Drosophila melanogaster: one gene and its partners. The protein of the gene in region 2 purifies or fractionates together with the protein of the main gene of each other region. This does not show direct contact. Each region holds a gene or a part of one and is shown on either strand. Other genes may lie near its edges.

What was found.
Region 1: the proteins of RpL10Ab (region 2) and pcm purify together in Drosophila melanogaster (affinity purification with western blotting, with the first as the bait; one study listed by BioGRID). This does not show direct contact.
Region 3: the proteins of RpL10Ab (region 2) and clu purify together in Drosophila melanogaster (affinity purification with western blotting, with the first as the bait; one study listed by BioGRID). This does not show direct contact.
Region 4: the proteins of RpL10Ab (region 2) and gw purify together in Drosophila melanogaster (affinity purification with western blotting, with the first as the bait; one study listed by BioGRID). This does not show direct contact.

What each region holds. Positions count from the first base shown.
Region 1 is NC_004354.4:19,485,986-19,493,917, reverse strand, and holds the start of pcm (pacman), read left to right. Parts: upstream 1-1,906; 5' UTR 1,907-2,104; coding exon 2,105-2,179; intron 2,180-2,238; coding exon 2,239-3,333; intron 3,334-3,402; coding exon 3,403-3,711; intron 3,712-3,968; coding exon 3,969-4,433; intron 4,434-4,507; coding exon 4,508-4,776; intron 4,777-4,859; coding exon 4,860-5,179; intron 5,180-5,232; coding exon 5,233-6,126; intron 6,127-6,205; coding exon 6,206-6,786; intron 6,787-6,850; coding exon 6,851-7,513; intron 7,514-7,576; coding exon 7,577-7,657; intron 7,658-7,725; coding exon 7,726-7,815; 3' UTR 7,816-7,932. Other genes in the region: CG12204 (uncharacterized protein), read left to right, coding at 1-510; ND-18 (NADH dehydrogenase (ubiquinone) 18 kDa subunit), read right to left, coding at 681-861, 921-1,241, 1,332-1,381.
Region 2 is NT_037436.4:11,821,011-11,824,743, reverse strand, and holds RpL10Ab (ribosomal protein L10Ab), read right to left. Parts: upstream 1,894-3,733; 5' UTR 1,859-1,893; coding exon 1,854-1,858; intron 1,761-1,853; exon of another isoform or gene 1,620-1,760; intron 1,545-1,619; coding exon 1,389-1,544; coding exon of another isoform or gene 1,376-1,388; exon of another isoform or gene 1,179-1,375; intron 1,087-1,178; coding exon 594-1,086; 3' UTR 533-593; downstream 1-532. Other genes in the region: CG32095 (uncharacterized protein), read left to right, coding at 1-447; CG11597 (uncharacterized protein), read left to right, coding at 3,312-3,733; CG5946 (uncharacterized protein), read left to right, coding at 2,887-2,910.
Region 3 is NT_033778.4:16,184,737-16,189,631, forward strand, and holds the start of clu (clueless), read left to right. Parts: upstream 1-1,847; 5' UTR 1,848-2,186; coding exon 2,187-2,400; intron 2,401-3,152; exon of another isoform or gene 3,153-3,418; intron 3,419-3,841; coding exon 3,842-4,895. Other genes in the region: CG8441 (uncharacterized protein), read right to left, coding at 428-1,015, 1,076-1,249. UniProt on the Drosophila melanogaster protein: mRNA-binding protein involved in proper cytoplasmic distribution of mitochondria.
Region 4 is NC_004353.4:657,584-662,356, reverse strand, and holds the start of gw (gawky), read left to right. Parts: upstream 1-1,748; 5' UTR 1,749-1,928; intron 1,929-2,373; exon of another isoform or gene 2,374-2,797; intron 2,798-3,848; 5' UTR 3,849-4,019; coding exon 4,020-4,455; intron 4,456-4,672; coding exon 4,673-4,773. Other genes in the region: CG46466 (uncharacterized protein), read left to right, coding at 384-1,202. UniProt on the Drosophila melanogaster protein: Required for gene silencing mediated by micro-RNAs (miRNAs). Silences both polyadenylated and deadenylated mRNAs. Required for miRNA-mediated translational repression and mRNA decay. Not required for miRNA target recognition.

The DNA of each region.
Region 1 (7,932 bases), on a different chromosome or scaffold from region 2:
AGCAAGCCCACGCTCAACGAGGAGCTGCACCAGCTAGTCAGCCTGCAGATGCAGGCGCTGGAGAAGCAGTGGGAACAGGAGCACGGCGGGCGGCATCATAAGCAAGTCGACCGACAGGAGCACCGCGGACGGTATGTTGAGCAATCCCAGCAAAGGACGCAAACGGAGCGGCAACAGGATCACAAGGGACGACGCGATAAGCCAGCGGAGCGGTTTCAGGAGCACCAATGGCGGCACAACGAGCAAACGCAGCACAGGCAGCGGTACCAGGAGGACAGAGGGCGGCATAACGACCAAATGGATCGTTTTAAGGAGCACAAGGACCGAGGACAGCGACAAGAGCATCGGGACTGGCGCAACGAGCGCAGAGATTGGTACCAGCATCATGATGACAGCCGGAAGAGAAGCCGCAGTCCGAGCAGGCATCGACATGGCGATAGGCGTCGGGAGGAGCGAGAGCCACGCGAGAAGCAGCACAATAGGCATCGCTCCCAAACCGCTCGTCATTAGAGCGGCATGTGATGGTGCCGCTTCCATTGGCAGCGAAACTGGTGGCCATTACATGGTGCTGTGGTCATTTGAGTCCAGCCGACTGTTTATTTGGGTACTCAGATAATGAACAAAGCAAAAAAAAAATCAGATAATTGTGGTCTATAATCCTGGCTAGCTGCGGGGAGCGTCTACTTGGTGGAGACGCGCGTGCGCTTGTTCCAGGCAAAGTTGATGCCGTAGTTCTTGACGCGCTCCTTCTTGGGCTTCGCGGCGCCGTCGACGTACCAGCGCCATCCGTTCCGTTCGCAGAACGTGATGGCCTCCTCTGGGGATCCGAACTGCACGTTCATGTTGGACAATGGGTCGCCGCTGGAACACGAGACGTTGACCAAGGTTGCCATGGCATGGTGGACGTGCCAGCTACTCACCTGGAGGCCCAGCCCATGAGCGGATTCTCCCAGCGCTCGCGGTTGTCGAACTCGATTTGCCAGGTGTTCACGTTATCGGTGCCGCTCTGCATTGCGTTCTTGGGCGGAATATGGATGCGCACACGGCGCTCCCGAATGTGCTCCTCCGGAACGCCGCTGATCGGGCTGAGATTGACGGCAGTCGGCACGGTGATCTTGCCACTCAGCTTGTTGCGCTGCTCCAGCTCTTCGGGGCGGGCCAGGGCCGTCTTGGGGTCCAGCGGACCGCCGTCCGTGGCGGTGGATGCCCAGCGGGCAGCGGCTGCCCTGTTGGCCTGGTACCTGCGGTGTCAAGATGCGAAAGTGGATAATTAGAGGGCTGCAGATTTGCCAGGTCGGATGCACTTGCTCCGGCCAGGCGGGGGTACCTACAGCTGCAGGGAGGCGGTGCTTCTGCACATCACTTGGCGGAGGGCCGACATTTCGCTAGGCGTTTGGGGCTACACGGCAGAAATCGGCTTCAAAATACGAATTACGTAAAATTTGGAACACAAGCGCTTTTCGATTGGGAAAACAGCTGTTCGCCAGTGCCAGTGTGACCAGGCGAGCGGTGAGTGTTTTTATTCTAATTGGAAACAGTGTGGCCCCTCGCCTTGGATGCGATGCCACAATAGTTCAAAAACAGTTTTCTTCTTTTTCACTTCGAACTTCGCAAAAACTATGAAATGCTGTTCAAGTGGTAAAATGAACTTTAAAATGAAAATGAATGAAATGAAATACACTGATGATGAACTAGAGAAGTAACTAGAACTAAAACTATGCTATTTGTAAGCCAACTGTTTAAATGATGAGCATTGCATTTGCCCAGTGCTGCCAGATATGTAGGTGTTCTTAGCTCCTTTTAGCTTAATTTCACCATTAGCTGATTATTGGCAAAGGAGCCCGTTTCGCTTATCGATTCTAATATCGATTTGAATCGGTCAGGGTCCTTATTCTTTCAGTTATTCATCGAACTGCGGAATGCCGCCGGCCCTACCACATGGCAATAGCGAAACGTTGTGGCAACGCCTCGCCTACTTGCAACTTTTGTGTCAATCAATACATGTTGAAAACAGATAAAGACACAAATTTTTCAGTTCATCTAAATTGCCACTGATCCAGGCAGAACAGCACGGCGGCAGAACAGTCCCATCCAGAACAGCGACATGGGCGTTCCCAAGTTCTTTCGCTACATCAGCGAGCGATATCCGTGCCTCAGCGAATTGGCGCGGGAGCACTGCGTAAGTAAAGCTGCTAGGTCACGTTATATGTTGCCATGCACCGTACGGTTCCTTTGCAGATACCCGAGTTCGACAATCTGTACTTGGACATGAACGGCATTGTCCACAACTGCTCGCATCCGGACGACAACAACATACACTTTCACCTGGAGGAGGAGCAGATATTCCAGGAAATCTTCAACTACGTAGACAAGCTGTTCTACCTGATCAAGCCGCAGCGCCTCTTCTTCCTTTCAGTTGACGGGGTGGCTCCACGGGCCAAGATGAACCAGCAGCGCAGCCGGCGATTCCGGACGGCGCGCGAGGCGGAGCAGCAGGAGGCCAAGGCGGCCCAGCGAGGCGAGTTGCGAGAGCACGAGCGCTTCGACAGCAACTGCATTACGCCGGGCACCGAATTCATGGTGCGTCTGCAGGAGGGACTGCGCGCCTTTCTCAAAACGAAGATTTCGACGGATCCGCTGTGGCAGCGTTGCACCGTAATCCTAAGTGGCCAGGAGGCGCCCGGCGAGGGCGAGCACAAGATCATGGACTACATTCGGTACATGAAGACGCAGCCGGACTATGATCCCAATACACGACACTGCCTTTACGGCCTGGACGCCGATCTGATCATTCTGGGCCTCTGCACCCACGAGCTGCACTTCGTGGTGCTGCGCGAGGAGGTCAAGTTCGGGCGCAACGTCAAGCGCACCTCGGTGGAGGAGACGCGCTTCTTCCTGCTGCACCTGGGTCTGCTGCGCGAGTACCTCGAGCTGGAGTTCGACGCCCTGAGAACAGACGAGCACAAATTGGACATTGCGCAGCTTATCGACGACTGGGTGCTGATGGGCTTTTTGGTCGGCAACGACTTCATTCCCCACCTGCCGTGCCTGCACATTTCATCAAATGCACTGCCGCTGCTCTACCGCACCTACATCGGCATTTACCCGACCCTCGGCGGCAACATCAACGAGAACGGCAAGCTCAACCTGCGCCGCTTGCAGATTTTCATATCGGCCCTCACCGAGGTGGAGCTGGATCACTTCAAGGAGCACGCCGACGACTTGAAGTACATGAACAACAAATCAGAGGCGTTCGACATGGACGTCGGCGAGATCACCGAGTCTCAAAACCTCGACTCCGATCTCGGAGCCCTCATCAACAAGAGCATGCTGGTATGAACTCTCTGCACTGACCGCCATCCCGTCATTTCCGTCCGCTCAATGCCGCCTTCCCATCCACAGCTCTACGATGACGACAGCGAGGAGGACTGCTCCGACGAGAACGCGGTTCTTCTGAAGGAGTTCCAGAACTACAAGCGAAACTTCTACCGCAACAAGTTCAAGCGTGATCCGAATGATGAACTGATCGAGGAACTGTGCCACCACTACGTCAATGCGCTGCAGTGGGTGCTCGACTACTACTACCGTGGCGTGCAGTCCTGGGACTGGTACTATCCCTTCCACTACACTCCATTCATCAGCGACCTCAAGAACATCGAGCAGGTGGAGATCGCCTTCCACATGGGCACGCCCTTTCTGCCATTCCAGCAGGTGAGCTGAGCACATTTAGTTAGCACCGATAACTTTCCTAGCATCAGGCTTACCATTTCTTAAACATAAACCAGAGCCACCAATTTAGACTATCATTTGCGTATCTCCTTTCTAACATATATCTATCTCCCTCTAATCCAATGGTGGTGCTAGATCATTTGGTTAAAGCAATCTTCTCAACCAAATTATCCATGTATCCATATATCTGCACACATACTAGATTTACTTAAGCCATCTGTCCAATCTTTCATATAAAGCTTCTGGCGGTACTGCCGGCGGCCAGTGCAAAGCTTCTCCCTGTCGCCTACCACGACCTCATGCTGCTGCCGACCAGCCCGCTGGCCGAGTTCTATCCACTGGAGTTCGAGAGCGACCTCAATGGCAAGAAACACGATTGGGAGGCGGTTGTGCTGATACCCTTCATCGATGAGGGTCGGCTGCTGGCCGCTATGCTGCCATGCGAGGCTCAGCTGTCGCTGGAGGAGCGCGAACGCAACCGACACGGTCCCATGTATGTGTACAAATACAGTACGGTGGCGCAGGGTCCCATGCCAGCGTATCCACCGCTGAGGGCTCTTCCCGTGCTCTACTGCACGGAGGTGGCCAAGTGGTCGCACGAAATCGCAGTCAATCTGCCGTACAGCGTGTGCATCGAGCTACCAAATGCGGCGAGAACCGTTTTCTTCCCGGGATTTCCCACCATGCAGCATCTGCCCTTCGATGTGAGTGACGCCGGGACACATGCATAACGCTCGCCATGTCCGCCATGTCTAATATGCTTGCTATTCTTTTCCAGTTCGAGCTGCGCAACGACCGCGTCAAGGTGTTCGAACAGGTCAGTCGCAACCAGAACATTGTGCTAAAACCACGCAAGCGCCAGCTGGAGGACACACTGACGGCGGTGGCCTCCCAGTACCTCGGGAAGGTGATCCACGTCGGCTGGCCGCATCTCGTCAAGGCGATAGTGGTGCGCGTGGCCACGCGAGATCAGCGCGTCGACAGCGAGGGAATCACGCTAAACGATTCGCGGCGTTTCGACTCGGAATGCAAGGCACTGCAGGAACAGTTGAGTGTGAAGCCGCCGTCTGGCCCTGCATTCACACTGCTAATGCTCCATCTTCCCTTTCCTCCTTCTCCTCCCACGACAGCTTTATCAATCGTATGGGAATACAGTTTGCCAACTATGATGTGCTCGTCTATGTGCGCACCTTTGCCGGCAATTCGACGGAGTTCCGCGACAAGGGGGCATTGATGGTGCGCGACTCGTGGAGCAGCTCCGTCACCGGCTATCCAGCCCAGGGCGTGGTGGCCGATCTGACTGTGTGGGAAAGAATGCGCAAGAATTTCCTCAACGTGGAGCACTACTTCCCCGTTGGCAGCACGATCTTCTTGATCACGGATCCGTATTACGGCAGCGAGGGAACTGTGCAGGACCCACGGCTGGCCTACACCAACGGCCGGATTCAAGGTAAGTTCGTCTCGCCATGTCCTTGACACCCCATCATCATTTCATCTCTGCAGTCAGCATCATGGTGCGACCGGAACCGAAAGTAAATGCGGCACGTCAGCTGCAGGAAGAGCGGGACCGGGACTATCTGAGCACCTTCCAGGTCTGCAACTTGCTCCGAATCAGTGGCCGCACCCTGGGACGCCTAAGTGGCACCGTGTGGGTGGTGCTCGGTCCGCGGCGTCAGAAGATGGAAAACGTGACCAAGCACAACATTGGCCTGCAGCTCAAGTATCCGCGGCAGAACGAGGAGCGTGCCGGATACTGCTTCCGCACGAACAACCAGTGGTACTACTCCAGCCTGGCCGTGGATCTGATGCGCAACTATTGCCAGCGTTACCCAGACGTTATCGACTTCTTTGGCGACTCCAACGATCGCGCCGAGTTCGTATTCGAACAGGACGTGTTCCCCAATGCGGTTGGCCATCGCCGCGTCGAGGAACTGGCCAACTGGGTGCGCCAGCAGCCGCACATGAAAGTGGAGCGCATCTCTTGCGGCTCCAAGACGGTCTGCCGCGAGACCATCGAACTGCTGATAGCCGCCGTCGACGACCTGCGCTCACTGCCCGTCAAGCACGTTAAACTGCAGGTGAAGCCGCACTTGCTCATCAAGCCCAATGTCACACTGCCAGATGTCTACCGATCAAAGCGCCCGGTGCGTCTCTTCGATCGCGTCGTAATCGTACGCACCATTTACATGGTGCCCGTGGGCACTAAGGGCACCGTGATTGGCATTCATCCCGTTACGGACCCCAACCCGGTCCGCCTGGAGTGCGTCCATGCTGTCGACACGTTCTGCAAGGTGCTGTTCGACAGCCCCGTTCCGAACTGCAACAACATCCATGGCATCGCCGAAGACCGAGTTTACAAGGTGCCCGAAATTGCCCTGGTGATCATCAAGACGGATGGTAAGTGGATTTGGCTGCATAGCCTACAGAATCGGAGGAGGCACATACATAGCAATGCTCCCACTTCCTCTCCTTGCAGAGGAAGGAAAGAAGCAGAACGACTGCGAACTGCCGGTGAGGGATCCTCAGCCGAACCAGGCACAGGACGAGCCAGTCCGCGCGACCAGCAGTCGCTATGTGACCGCCGCAGGGTCCACCTCGGTCCCGATCACGATGAAGACCCAAATTAGCGACGAATTCGTCAAGACGCGTAGCGATCCGATAGCCCGTACGGATTCGTACAAGCCATCGTCGGAGCCAAAACCGGTGCCGGTGCCGGAGCAGATTACCAACTGGCGGGAACGCGTCAGTACGCCAACAAACAAACCGCAGCCTGCGCCAAATAATTGGCGCATAAATCGGTCTTCATCACGTCAACAGGGCGGTAGTATTTTTGTTGCTCCGCCCACAAAAACTCCTGATGCAGCTGCAAGCACTGCTTCCACTGCATTCACCGCAGCCTCGTCCGCAACGCTGACTCCTCTGGATCAGACCTTGGCGCTCATGTCGGTTTTGGGCGTGGGTGAGGACCAGAGCTCGCCGCCACTCCAGGAGGCGGTGCAGCAGCAACGTCCGCCACTACTTCAACAGCAAAGAGCTCCGTTTCCCGGACAAATGCCCGTAACTGCTTTCAGCCCAGATGTGCCACCCAACCATGTGTTCACATAACTACTTTTCATTGCAGAATCTACCCAAGCCACCGCTCTTCTGGCAGCAAGAGGCGCAGAAGCAGGAGGCGCTGCAGCAGGAGGCGCAGCAGCAGGAGGCGCAGAAGAAGCAGCAGCAGGCGCATGCGCAAATGGAGCCTGAACGTATCAATAGCCAGCATTTCTACAGAAGCGGCCAGACAGGAGCGGCGTTGAATCAGCCGCCATTGGGTGCTCCATCAAAAAGGCAGTGGCATGAGTGGGTGCACCCGCGCATGCAGCACGCCAACGCATTCCACGCTGGCGTCAACAATGGATATCAGATGCGTCCCAAAAAGAATATAGCTGCGCAGAGCACCTTTAACAACAACGTGCACATGCACCTCCAGCAACCATATTACCCGAATCAGCAGCAGCAGCAGCAGCAGCAGCAGCCACTCCAGCTGACGGAGATCAACAATGCGCCACCGCGATACTCAACGATCCAAGATTTTGTGCCCATACAGGCGTACCGTCCCAAGAAATTAAATCGCGTCCAACCAGCCGGTCGTCAGGACGTCGATGCCACCAAGAATCCTAGTCGTTCGCCTGTGTTGCAGCAACCGACGAACGAGACTATAGACACAAAGGCCAGTTCTAGTCTTCCGGTACAATCAGCAGGCGAACAGGTGATTGGACTGATGCAAACGCTTGAAATTAAGGTAAGCATTGGCTACAAGTCAAAGCCTTGATTACCGAACTAATGCTTTCCTCTCGGCCGACAGCAGCCGGCTGCGTCGCAGTCCGAATCTGATGGGGTCTCAACAGGCAGTGCGAACGCGCCCACAGCAACGACATCATCCCAGGTAATGGAGGAGATAGAGATAGTTATTCTGCATAATTTACTCATTCCATTTACTCGCTTCTGTTGCAGGCGGTCAACCGAAGGAAGCATCGAGTGCCTCGCATCGGAGCCAAGTTCGACTTGGAATACATACTGCCCGACTCCCCGCATCCAACTTAAGAGCGAACAAATGGGTATTTTTAGGTTCAAATCCCACCTAGCTGAAGAAATGCAACGCTATTTGGATCTTATATCACCTTATTTCTATCTCTCCTAGTCTGTGCGAGGCACTAGAAT
Region 2 (3,733 bases):
ATCCCTGAATTCCGCATTAATTCCCGACTAGTTCCGGCCTTTGTCTTGGCCCCGGTGTACCAGAATTATCCACTGCGTCCCTGGCTTTTGCAGCGCTATACTGATCCGACAGCTCCGCACGAGCACGACTTCAACGAGGTTGCCGAGCACCTGCAGGAATTGAGTGACTGCGCACTGCATCGCCTCATGTCCCGCTGGAGCTTCCTTAGCCAACCCCTGGACATTAGCTTCCATACGGCCTCGTGCATCATCACAGCAGCCGCAGTATTGCACAATCTACTGGAAGAACTGAGCGAACCACACATGCTTGAGTGGGGCAACTCGGTGGACGTGTCCAAATTCCGGGCAGAGCCGCTGTCAGATTCAGTCAGCGAGGACGCCGAGTCTCATGCGGCGCTAGAAGTGAGAGATTTCCTAGCCAGAACTATAAGCTCCACTGAAATATAAGGCATAGAAATCGATGTGCAACCACCGACTTCTCATATACATAAATACTGTAGAGATAAGGACTAAAATAAAACCAAATTAAGTTACATTACAAAAATGTAGGATCTTATTTATTTCAAGATGTAAGAAAAATGAAGTATGCGCATCTAGTAAAGACGCTGGGGCGGTCCCATGGAGGACTTGACGTGCAGGGAGCGCACATTCTGCCAGTTCTTCTTCAACAGCGACACCAAGAAGTTGATCGACAAGTTGACGTTTTGGGCCAGCTCGTCGGACTTCATGCCAACGTGGCCGACGGCGACGGACAGGCAGAGCACCTTCTTCATCTGGAACTTGATGGTCGACTTAACCTCCTCGATCTTGCCAATCATAGACTCCTGATGCGACAGCAGGGCAGGGAACTTGCCGGCCTTGTTCAAGCCAGGGCCAAGCAAACGAGGAATCTGCTTGATCAGCGACTCAGAGGCCAGGAAGGCATCATAGGACTTGGCCAGCTTCTTCACCAGCTTCTTGTTCTTGTTCAGCTTCTTCAGAGCCTCGGCATCCATGAAGTCGACGTTGTTGGCCTTGGCTTCGTCGCAATGCTGCTGATCGCCAAGGATGCACACCTTCATCTTGGGACGAGGAATGTGCTTCAACCTGTGGGATGACAAGAAAGTAACCATAAATTAGCCAGTGCTTTGTGGATTCAAATAGATGTAGATATAAGTGGGGCCTCATGGAAAACTTACAAGGCTCTCAGAGGAGCACGTTTTCATAGTTATTAAGAAAATGGGGGTTCGGTGTCCATTGCTGGAGACCTACTCAAATTTTAAAGACCCTGAGTGCAGGTCCGTCGAGATGTGACAGCCACATGTCCTCGACTACCTGATGACGTGATGAACTCAACTCCCATGGGAGCTTCTATCCAAGCACGTGCGCAGGTGACTTAGCCAACGTACTTGACGGTGCCGGAGAAACGCTTGTCCTTCTGGGGATCGTAGTTCTTCAGGCCGATCTGCAGTTCCACCGTCTCGAGGAAGCCGCGCTTCTTCTTCGCCGAAGCCTCCAGGAGTCCATTGACGCCCTCATACAGCGTATCACGCGAAACCTTCGACCTGCAAGATTGAACCAATTATCAAACAAATGGAAGGCAAATGAACACTGCAAGCATTGGCTGTTTATCTTTTTTTGACTGTCGGACTAATGCGCAAATGAAGGCAGCCCACATATTAGTTGCTTATTTGGCACATAAAACCACGTTTTTCTTTTGCAATCATTTCCAAACTGATATGGACATGGAAAAGGTCTAAAAAGCTGGTTTCTGATTGCCACTGATCACAGGATCGCTTAGAATTCAAATTTCATTAATGTACCCAATGTTTAGTTGCTTTCTTTTACATATTAAAATCTGGATTTACACTTACGCCATCTTTTCTGTTCAACGTGCGATTTAGAAAGGAAGTGAAAATCGGTTTTTAGAGGTGAGAAACCTCTGGCGATAGTTTCGTGGGCGCGTGTGCTTGTGCGAATATATATCGATATTCATTAATAGGGCTATTCACGAGAAATGCTGGTTAATAAAGAATTATAAATTCTTCAATTGTTTATAAAAATATTAAATCTAATACCCCCTTTTTTATAAGTTAACGGAGTACACATACACAGTGGCATATTTTTAGAATTTCATATAATATGTTACGCAAAAATCAAAGGAACGAACAGAAATAATGGAAAATAATAAAGGGATGTCGGCAGACAATGACGTTTCAATACACTTATTTTTTACTTTTTATGTGTCACAGCTTATTTTTTTTTTGTTATTTTTGTTACAAATTAATGTATAACTGACAGTAGTTAGTGGGAGCTCCTAAATTAATAGCTGCCAATGTCACAAATCATAATAATACAAATTGCTAATTAAGAATATTAAGAATATATATATATATTATTTGAAGGCGTTTGAATAGCAGGAATCACCCTAATAACAAAATCCATTTATTTGGCGATGCTTTGTGGGCTGCCAACTGGTTTTTATCACTATTAGTTTACCAGCCCTGGAACTGCGGCTTTGTTTGTAGCCGAGAATATTGGTATTAAAATTTGCACTTGATTAAAATTTGCACTTGATCTCTATAAAATCTATATATGCAACTAGTTAGTTACTGTGTGTCTGAAGATTCTGTTGATTATAGGCTTTCTTCTCTTTCTTCTTTTCTTTCTAGGTGATATCATAGTGTGTTCAAGAGAGGCAAAGAGAAACTCTCTTGCGCTCTCTCCTTAAAACGGAGAGTGCGTGGAAATGAAAACATTGCTTTCACCATCTCGCCGATTAGTCTGCATATCAGTGTTTAGTCGGCTTTTCGCTTTCGTTAGATAAAAATTAAGTGCGTGGTGTCGTTGCAATTCGCGGATTATATAAGGGATTTGAGCCGCGACTGCATTGATTTTCCATTGGCCATGGCCCGCATCGTTGAAAGCAATGTAAGTTAAATGCAACTAATTCCGTTCGCTGGTATGTTTATATAACTCCTCGATTCGCATCACCACCTGCCCCGCCCACATCCATCTTGTTCTATTCCCCCTCACATTTCATAGTTGTCAGTGATGATCATTTTTCTCTTGGCCAAATGCCTAATGCCTCGGTGGTTTTGCATTCTCCCAAATTTGTTGGTCAACAGTGATGGGAACTGTTTGTATTAGTTATTTGTTATTATTTTAAATTATGAATAATTGAGAGAACTAAATGCTTGCACTGTAGAAATAGTTTGTAACCTAGCCACCTGATCATTTAACTCATCTATTGGCTCATAAACTAACACAATATGTAAATAGTTTCCTTCCCATCACTGTTGCCCAGTGACGTCGCCGACTTAAGAATAGAGATGATGTCTGCCTTGTGCCCCGAGGCAATGAATGATGCGGATCGTCTGGTGGAAAATCTGCGCCATGTGCCGGTCCGCCTGCCCAGGGAGTTGGAGGTTCGCCAGCTGTGCCGCTCGTTGAGTGACTTGCTCGTCGGCGAGTCGAATCTACTGAGCCTGCAGAGTCCGCAGATCGTATGCGGTGACATTCACGGTCAGTTCGAGGATCTGCTCCACCTGCTGGAATTGGGCGGTTCGGTGCAGGAGCATCGCTACTTGTTCCTGGGTGACCTGGTGGATCGGGGCAAGAACAGCGTGGAGACCTTTCTTCTGCTAGCTGCTCTCAAGGTGCGACATCCGGCACAAGTTAGCCTGCTACGGGGCAATCATGAGTGCCGCAGTGCCACTCGATCCTATGGATTCTACGAGGAGTGCCTTTCGCG
Region 3 (4,895 bases), on a different chromosome or scaffold from region 2:
ATTCAAAGAAATCTAATTATTGAAAACAATAAAAACTTGCTTCTTCAAGAAACCAGAAAAAAATATGTTTATACCCAGAACTAAAAATGGTGGATTTCTGTCAAGGGTATAATTAATGTATTGCCTGCGATGTCAAATTTTGAAAGCATTTATTATACTCAAAAATGCAACATTTGATGCACCTTATAAATGTAAGACAACAAAAAACAAAATGCGCACTAAAGCCACGACAACTCAATGCATAATTCGCAAAACGCTTTCTTCTCAACCAAGCTGCTTTAGAAAGATGGCCTCAGATGAAAACCCCTAGATACTGGCGATGTATAGAAATCGCTTAATATATATATATTACAAAAGTACTATAAATAAAACCGCACTGTGTTTTATTACTCTAAACGGTTTATTGATAGGAATAGAACAGGAGGTACTAAGGCACAGGCTTGTCTTGTTCTTGATCCACATTTTGGGATTCCTTTGTAGCTTCGGTGCTATCTAATTCCACTGCATTTGTGTCCTCTGCGCTTTTCGCTTCTGTATTTGAATTCACTGCCTCTTCATTCGAAGTTTCTTGGGTGTTATTGTCGTCGGATTCCTTGGATGCCACCTGTTGTCCTTCCTCAGGGCTACTTTCTGCCTTTTCTTCTGTGGGCTCTTCCTCGGAATCTGTGTTACTATCCTCTGAGGCTTCCTTAGCCAGTGGCTTCTTGTCCTCTCTCGGCTTTTTCGCCCTCTGTTTTCTCTTCAACCGTTTGGCTCGTTTCTTAGCAGTCTTTTCTTCGGCCGCGCGTCTGTTGTCGTCCAACTTCTGCTGGTAAGCTTCATCTGCTGCTTCGCGGGCACTCTGGTTCTGGATGTTCTTCTGGCGGGCGTACTCCTTGCGTCGCAAGTGGCGGTACACATGGAACTCGCCGGAACCCGCTCCAGCACTGCTTCCCATCACATTCCGCACGAACGTGGGCACCGAGGACATGAAGTCCCGTTCGCGACGCTGCTCCGGTATGACCACGGGCTTATCCTGGCAATAAAAGGTTTATTAATATGAATGTCCACCCAGCTTTCCAATGCAAACACATACCGGATTCTTCATGAGCTTCTCCAGCTTCAGCCTCTGTAGATCTGTCGCGGTTTTGATGAACGGCCGCAGAGGCTTGTCCTTCTCATCGGAATCGCTTTCTCCAGATCCCGCATTCTTTTTCTTTTTCTTTGCCTTCTGTTCGGGCTCTTTTACCAAATTCTTTATAAGCGACATGTTTGTTTGGTTAAAAACAGTATTTTATGTGTGGCTGTATTACAAGTCGTAAAAAATACACACCGAATTAAAAAAAAAACTTAACGGGGACTATGCTTGATCTGTAAAATTGTATGCGTCAAATTAGAGTCGATAAGTTAGCGGCGATGGCGGAACGGTGGAATTTCAGGAAAATTTCAATTTTTGAGATAATTTCATAACAGTAGGTCCAGCTATGAACCAACCCATCCTTAAAACAGGCCCTTTACATTAATTAATTTTTAAAAATTGTTGAATAGAAATTCACCTTCAAATAAAATAAAAAAAACCTACCCATGTTACAAATTTCACTGTTCCTCAACGACGCTAATATGACGCACTTTATAAAAAGGCTTAAAAATTTGTTTTAAATAAAAATAAGTTTGTATTGTGCATAAATTACCTTTTATTAAACAGAACACAATTGTTGTTAAAATAAATGCAATCATATATATTGGTATCGTTTTTGCGTGTGCATCCCTATCACTAGTTGTTGTCCATCTGCAATTATACACAGCAAATAACTAAATACTAATTAAAATACTGCAACCAAGCCAATGCCAGCGGTATATTTAAATGTTCACCCGGTGGTCACACTCTCAGCCGTTAACAACATAACGCGTTATTTTCTAGCGAATCGGCCGATTTATATCCTCGATAAGTAATGTGCTGAAAAGAACAGAACTAGCAAAGACCCACTTGTCATAGATGCGTACGAGATCGTTAACCAAACAACAATCACGTTCGCAATCGACCAGAAAGACACTGAAAATCGAACCGAAATCACCCCGAGCTCGGCGAGCGGTTAGAGTTGTGTAACACGGACGGACGGGCCCAAAAAAAAAAGAAACGTGAACTAGAACTCTGTGTCTCCTCCGCTGGTTTTGTTGAGTTTTTGGCGAGCAGGTGAAACAAAAGCATGGCGCTTGAAACGGAGGCGAAGAATTCAAATGCAACGGCCACGGGCGATGCAACAGCAACAGCAACAAAGGCCAGCGGCAAGGCCAAGGAGAACAACAACACGGCCGGCGGCAAAAAGAACCTGAATCCGAATTCGAATCAGCAGAATTCGAATCAGAACTTGGTCAATGGCAATGGCACGGCTGCCGACGGGCCGGCTGCGAAGAAGAAAGGTGCGTTTAACTTTCCGCCTACGCCCATGTTCAACCAACCAATCAACCACCCACCCACCCACACACCAACCCATCACCACCTCCTCTTAGCTTTGCTGCCTTGGAAACTGCCTCAATATATTATTTGCCACAAAAGCCAATCACATAACATTTTTAACATTACGTAATGGGCTTTTTCTTCCCTATAATGCCTTAAAAGCGGCGCCCGTTGTCTATGGCTGCCCCTCCACCCCCTTTTACGAGCCTTCCCTCTCCCCCTCTCTCCATAAACCGCGTGGGTTACAATTGCAATCGTAAATGTGTGTGTGTGTATTATTGGAGTTAAGTGCGTGTGTGAGAACTGCAAGTGTGAGGCTCCCTATCTCTCTCGCTCTTTCTCTTCCTCTTGGCATGGCAACGCACATGTTATTAACCCGGCAACGGCGACGAAATGTTCATTAACCCCCCGGGCGGATTTCTTGTTGCGTTTAACCTACAATTAACACGTGCGCGGCCCGAAATGCATGCACTTAACACACGCAAATTGTTCGACAATTATGTAAATCATGTTTTCTATCCGTAGACGCATCGCTCTACACTTTGTCTCCTTCTCTCCGAATTCCTTGCGGTTAATGAACATTGTACTTATCACTTTTGCTTTCTCCTCTCCCCACTCTCTTTGCCTCTCTCATTCTCTCTCCCTAGCTCTATCTCTATGTATCTCACAGTGCTGTAATTTAGTATACGGCTGTTGAAATTAGCATGGTCGTGTTAAACCCATTCCGTTTTCCTGAGAGATCGAAAGGAGATTGGATTATTCGGTGGACTGTTCGTTCGTACGGACTCCGAACGAACCCGGCCCCTTTGGCCTTATCAGCTCGCTTTTCTCTTTCTGTTTGTTTTTCTACTGTTTTGTTGTAAATGTATGTACATATGCCTTTATATGTATATGCAAGCACACAGCTTGCCGGCGAACACAGACAAACTGAGCGACAAAAGTGTGCGGACAGTATTGTTATGTAAAAATCGGAGCCTGGAGGTAGAGACACCTCTTTTTAAATTATTATATATTGCCAGACAATTTTAGAAAAGAAACGTGTAACGTATTTGCATTACCTTTAATTCTGTCACCATTTTTCAAATAATATCAAGGTTTAATTATTAAACTAGATATAAACCACTATTTATAAATTAAGAATGGTAAACATTAAATTCTAACATAAACTTGGCAGCATTGCTTGGAAATTTAAATTCCTAAGAATAATCTTTTGTTTTTAAAAACATACTAATGAACCATAATAAATAAATAACGGATTTATACAAGATTCTTCTGAGAGACATGGAAACAAAAGTCGGTCCAAAGTTCACGTTTCTCCCTATACATCGAATAGGTTACACAATGCTCCATATGCCTTTCCCAATATTGACTAACAACAAATTACTTCTTCATCGCCCCATGTAGGCAAGAAGAACCGCAACAAAAGCCCAACTGAACCCACAACCGAAGCCGTTCTGAGCAACGGACACGCCGAGAAGCCCACAGTGGTGGATGCAGTTGAGGACAATGCCGATACCAATGCCAATGTGGAGAAACCGCAGGAAGGAGGAGCACCGGATGCTGAGGCTGATGGTGATGACATTGATCTGGACGCTCTGCAGGACATTGGCATCACGGTGAACATCAGCAGTCCCGGCGCCGATCTGCTCTGCGTGCAGCTGTCCAGCATGGAGCTGGTGCAGGAAATCCACCAGCTGCTGATGGACCGCGAAGAGACGTGCCATCGTACATGCTTCTCGCTGCAGCTGGACAACGTGACGCTCGACAATTTCGCCGAACTCAAGTCAATCAATAACCTTGAGCAGGGCTCGACGATCAAAGTGGTAGAGGAGCCGTACACCATGCGGGAGGCCCGTATTCATGTGCGCCATGTCCGTGATCTTCTCAAAAACCTTGACCCGGCCGACGCGTACAATGGCATTGACTGTACTTCGCTGACCTACTTAAACACGATCACTCAGGGTGATTTGCTGGACAAGAAGAGGACGCGACCGGACTCCGTGGATTGCACTCCGCCGGAGTATGTGACTCCGGGTGTAAGTGATCCGCCAATTCTGCCATTGCATCCAAATGTGAAGAACGCCAAGGGACCGCAGGCTCTCAAGGTACTGACTACATCCGCCTGGAACCCGCCACCCGGTCCTCGCAAGCTGCATGGTGACCTCATGTATCTGTACGTTGTCACCATGGAGGATAAACGATTCCACATCTCAGCCTGTTCCAAGGGCTTCTTCATCAACCAGTCGACAGACGACACCTTTAATCCCAAGCCCGACAATCCAAGCCACCTCAGCCACTCGCTGATCGATCTGCTTTCCCACATATCACCATCGTTCCGACGTGCCTTCCAGACCATCCAGAAGCGACGCACCATGCGTCATGCCTTCGAGCGTGTAGCCACGCCCTATCAGGTGTACCAGTGGGCAGCTCCCATCCTGGAGCACACAGTGGACGCTAT
Region 4 (4,773 bases), on a different chromosome or scaffold from region 2:
ATACTTCCGTCTGCCCCTATGAATGTTGTAATGTCGGGAAGCACTCCTCTGGCTACCAAAAATTAGTAATGTAAATAAAGGAGAGGTGGGCTAATTTGATTCTAAGGTTATATATTTCTTTTTTATTGCATTTGTTTTCGGTTTGGACATCATATAGTGTCCAAATCCCGAAGTTCATTAACTAGTCTCGGAAACCTTTTTGTTCACCTGTTATGTTCTTTTTTAATTTTTAATAACCCCCTTACTTTACGAGTGAAGAGTATAAAAGAATTATAAATACTTTTTCAAGAATTCAGGTTAATATAATTATTCGATTTTATGATAGAATCTAACGTTCCGCTAACCATTTAATACAGCAAACCATATTTATTTTCAGATCAAAAATGACAACACACGATGAGGCTCAGTCATACTTCTCACGTCTTAATTCAATTTCCGAAAAAATTACCTGCGATCTCAATAAAGTTAAATCTACATACAACCAAGACGCTTGGCTTAAATTGACTTTAAACGAACAGGAAAAAATATTGAATAACCAATTAATAGATCCTGTTATATTTTCTAAGTACTGTCATAAGACTAAAGAAAACTATGCGGCACAGGATCCGTACGAAAATACTGAAGTTAGTAAAAATGATTACCGTAAATTTTGTTTCAGAGACATTGTATATTTATATAACGGCCAAGATTTACACACATATAATTATCAAAACGTTGGTTTAAAAATATTACGCGATGAAAACACCGGAGATTTTCAAGATGAACATTCGTTTCCATTTTCTTATCGAACCAAATCACAAATTAACATAGTATTAAAAGAATTTGATGATATCTGTCTTGTTGAAACTCCATTAGGCGTAAAAAAGGCCATTCATTTAAAATTGAAGACAAAAGATTCAACCAATAAAAAAATACCAATTCTCCACCTTAATTCTAATGATAAAACCGGCGTTAACACAACGGAAAGAAAGATTTCCATTCATGAAAACTTCTCAAAAACCCAAACTGTTTATATTGATGAATGTATTGAATCTAATGAGAAAATGCAACTGCTCGTTAAATGTGGATCGAAAAACAGTGTGTTAAACGACTTGTCTGATTATGAAAACGAATTTAAAGATGCACGTCAAGACGAAAATACAAAACTGTTATCCCCTGAACTAAAAATGCCTAAGGGTTTCGATTTTCTTAGCAATTGGTAAAACCTATTTAAATCTCATAGATAGTCGAAGGAGAGCCGATATTTTAGAACATAATTTCATTTGATTTCAAGGCAAAACACCAAAACATACACATTAATATTAATCGGTCGTAAGTCCAAACTTTATACATTACATTATTAAGGATTCTTTTTTAACATAGACTTAATAAAATAAGTTATGAATTTAATGGATTGCCCAAACCTGTTTCAATTCTCACTTCAATAAGGCATTCAAGCTTTAAAATTTATTAATGCATATGTTATCTCACTGTATTGTTTTAATCCCTTAAATTTCATTTGAATTGTTAGAAATGGTCGAGAGTTATATGAGTTGGAACTTGTTTGAAACAGCTCTGTTTTGAATTAATTTAAATTATATCAGCTAATTTATTTTAATCAATTAATCCTTCTGTTGTGTACCCTCTATCTGACCTCTTCGATGTGAACGGGTCACAGCACTTATTTTAGGCAGTTGTGTAAACTGGGTATTACCTAAGATTGATTAATATCGATTAGTTTAAGAAAATATCGGACATCTACCTAGAAGAGTCTGTCGTGATCCAGGCGAAGTGCGAGTGAGAGCATCGTATAGTTACTTTTTATTTAAATTGCGTGTGTTAAAATGAATTAGCACGAGTAGTGAATGTTTTTGTGTGCGTAATCTTTCGAAAACAAGCGCTTTGTCATTAAAACGAAAAGATTGCCAACAGCCCACCACGGATAGAATGTACGGAGTAATGCAGCTAAATTGAAGTAGAATAATTTTAATGTATGGTTGAAGACGTACTCAGTACGATTAAAAGCGAAACTTTCTGACATAACCTAAGTGTGCATAACCTAAATGGTCGCAAAAACCCAAGCGTTTAGTTTCGGACATACGCATGTGTGTATCAGTGCAGAATAAATTCTGTTCGCTTGTGTATCGTGCATTGGAAAAGTCTATATGTACATATGTTCCAGTCAAGAGTTGCCACGCTTTAAATCTTTTACATAATGACAAAGCAATAGGGAATTTAAATGTGTCGCATTTGCTTTGAGGTTTTCCACACCAACAGTTAAAATTTAGTAATAGTGTAATTAAAAATAAAGTAAGCATTTTGCATATTTGCATTAGTCTATACTCCACATACCTTTCCATTCCGTCTTTAAATTTTGACTAGGTGGCAATATTGCAAGCAGGAATATCTGTATGGGTTTATTTAATACACTAGTAACTGCCGTCCCCATCGTCGAACGTGCGCAGAAATTTATATTCAATTACATCGAATTATAATTATTGTTGAGTCTAATCAGTTTTCGCATTCAAGATTGTTATTAATCCCAGTTTATTTTGTGAAATATGAAAAACTATAATTGATTGTCGAATGTGTGTATGTTTTACAACACATACACACTTTGTGAACTCGTCAAAGTGGCTTGACATGCATACACACAAAAATGCACATATATTTACATATATAGAGAAAATCAACTTCTCGTTCAGTAAAGGCAAAAATTGTTGCAAATATTCGGTGAACTATTAGCGTATACACAAGTGTTCAATTTTACTATAAACGCATATTCTGGCAATAGATATTAATTTCTAATTTCTGTTTGGTAGGTTTTAGTTAGATCTCCATTTTGTGACGTTCTCAGCTTTTCGCTTGTATTTCTACACATAGGGTACAAGACACGCGAATATACTAAGTATTGTACAATGACTTCTCTACATATGCACTAGAGTACTGAAAATGTATTCATACAAATGTATATACATGTATATATCTATCGCATTAGTCTTTTTGCCAATACTTGCATATATACAGGTTGTGTAAATACATTTTAAATTCTAAGTTTATTTGAGCATAATTGCAAGTGCGAAATTAGGAAAGGGAGACATAAAATAGGGTGCTTCCGTCAATGTCTGCCTGCCCAGAGTTGACAAATTCATTTTACTTGTGTACATATGCATATGTATATTTATATACCATTACAGAGTTGTGAATTTAATTGTTTTATTTTTTGACATGCATTCGTTTTTCACACAGGAATTTGTCGTTAATGTGGGTGGGGATTCTGCCGGTTGGGCAGCAGACCTGGTAGGTCAGCGATCGCGATGCATATTTCATTTTTAAAATTCTTTATGTACATACTAAGTATACATGTTTAACTCCTGTCAAATGACTCCCACTCTTATATACCCATATGTATGTCCTCAGACTTTTTGAATCGATTATAAAGCTTAAATTTTTATGATTTCTCCTTCAGAATTTTAACTGATGTTATGCAGTTAAAAATCTGTAAAGAAGATATTGATTAAGCCTACGAAAAGCTGATCAGAATTAAAAAATTTTTTAAGAACAACGAACAATAGAAAAACTAAAAACAAACGTGCACAACGTAGGGGTCACTAGAATCTGCATGCTTATTCTCAACTGTCTAGCTTTTATGTCGAAAACGCTTCCGCTATGTAACATACTTTAGAACAAATCTGGTATACCATATACCATTTTACTCTATTAATAATGTGTATAAAGCATAAACGTATCACGGTGATTAAGTTTATTTATCCTGTGTATATACAAGAAAATAAAAAAAGAACTTAGCAATTTGATTTAGAATGAATATTTTGTAATAAAAATAATAAATGTTTTCTATATTTCTACAGAACACGGAAAGAACAAGGATTCAGATTAAGTCATTCCTTTTCGATTAAATTAAATAACTTTTAAAAATTGCCATAAATGCTTATGATAATGAAGTTAAAGATCAAGTGGATGTTGGAATAGTAAGGAATGCTACTTTTGAAGCTGACAATCAGTTAGAACACTTGAGCACTATGCGTGAAGCCCTTTTTTCCCAAGATGGCTGGGGCTGTCAGCATGTTAACCAGGATACTAATTGGGAAGTTCCCAGTTCGCCAGAACCAGCCAATAAGGATGCACCCGGTCCACCAATGTGGAAGCCAAGCATTAACAATGGTACTGATCTTTGGGAGTCCAATTTGAGAAACGGAGGTCAGCCGGCCGCACAGCAAGTTCCAAAGCCGTCGTGGGGTCATACACCATCCTCTAACTTAGGTGGAACATGGGGTGAGGACGACGATGGCGCCGATAGTAGTAGTGTGTGGACTGGAGGAGCTGTTAGCAACGCGGGATCCGGAGCTGCAGTGGGAGTAAACCAAGCCGGAGTTAATGTCGGTCCAGGCGGTGTTGTTTCGTCTGGCGGACCTCAGTGGGGACAAGGTGTCGTTGGCGTCGGACTTGGATCAACTGGTAGGCCTAATATCTATTAGAATTAATGAAGTTAAGCGCAAACGATCAGATAAAGGCTCTAGCTTTTCCCTCAAAATGTGACTAACAATACATGATAAAAACATAAAGTGTAGTAATTGAAGTTGGAGCCTTATCTGGGGAATTACCTATTCTAAGTTCTACAGAAACTTTTATTTCATTAACCCGAAATACTTTTATATTTCTGCTGTTATTTAAGGAGGTAACGGGTCAAGCAATATAACTGGATCGTCTGGAGTCGCAACAGGTAGTAGCGGAAACTCCAGCAACGCTGGTAACGGTTGGGGAGACCCTCGTGAA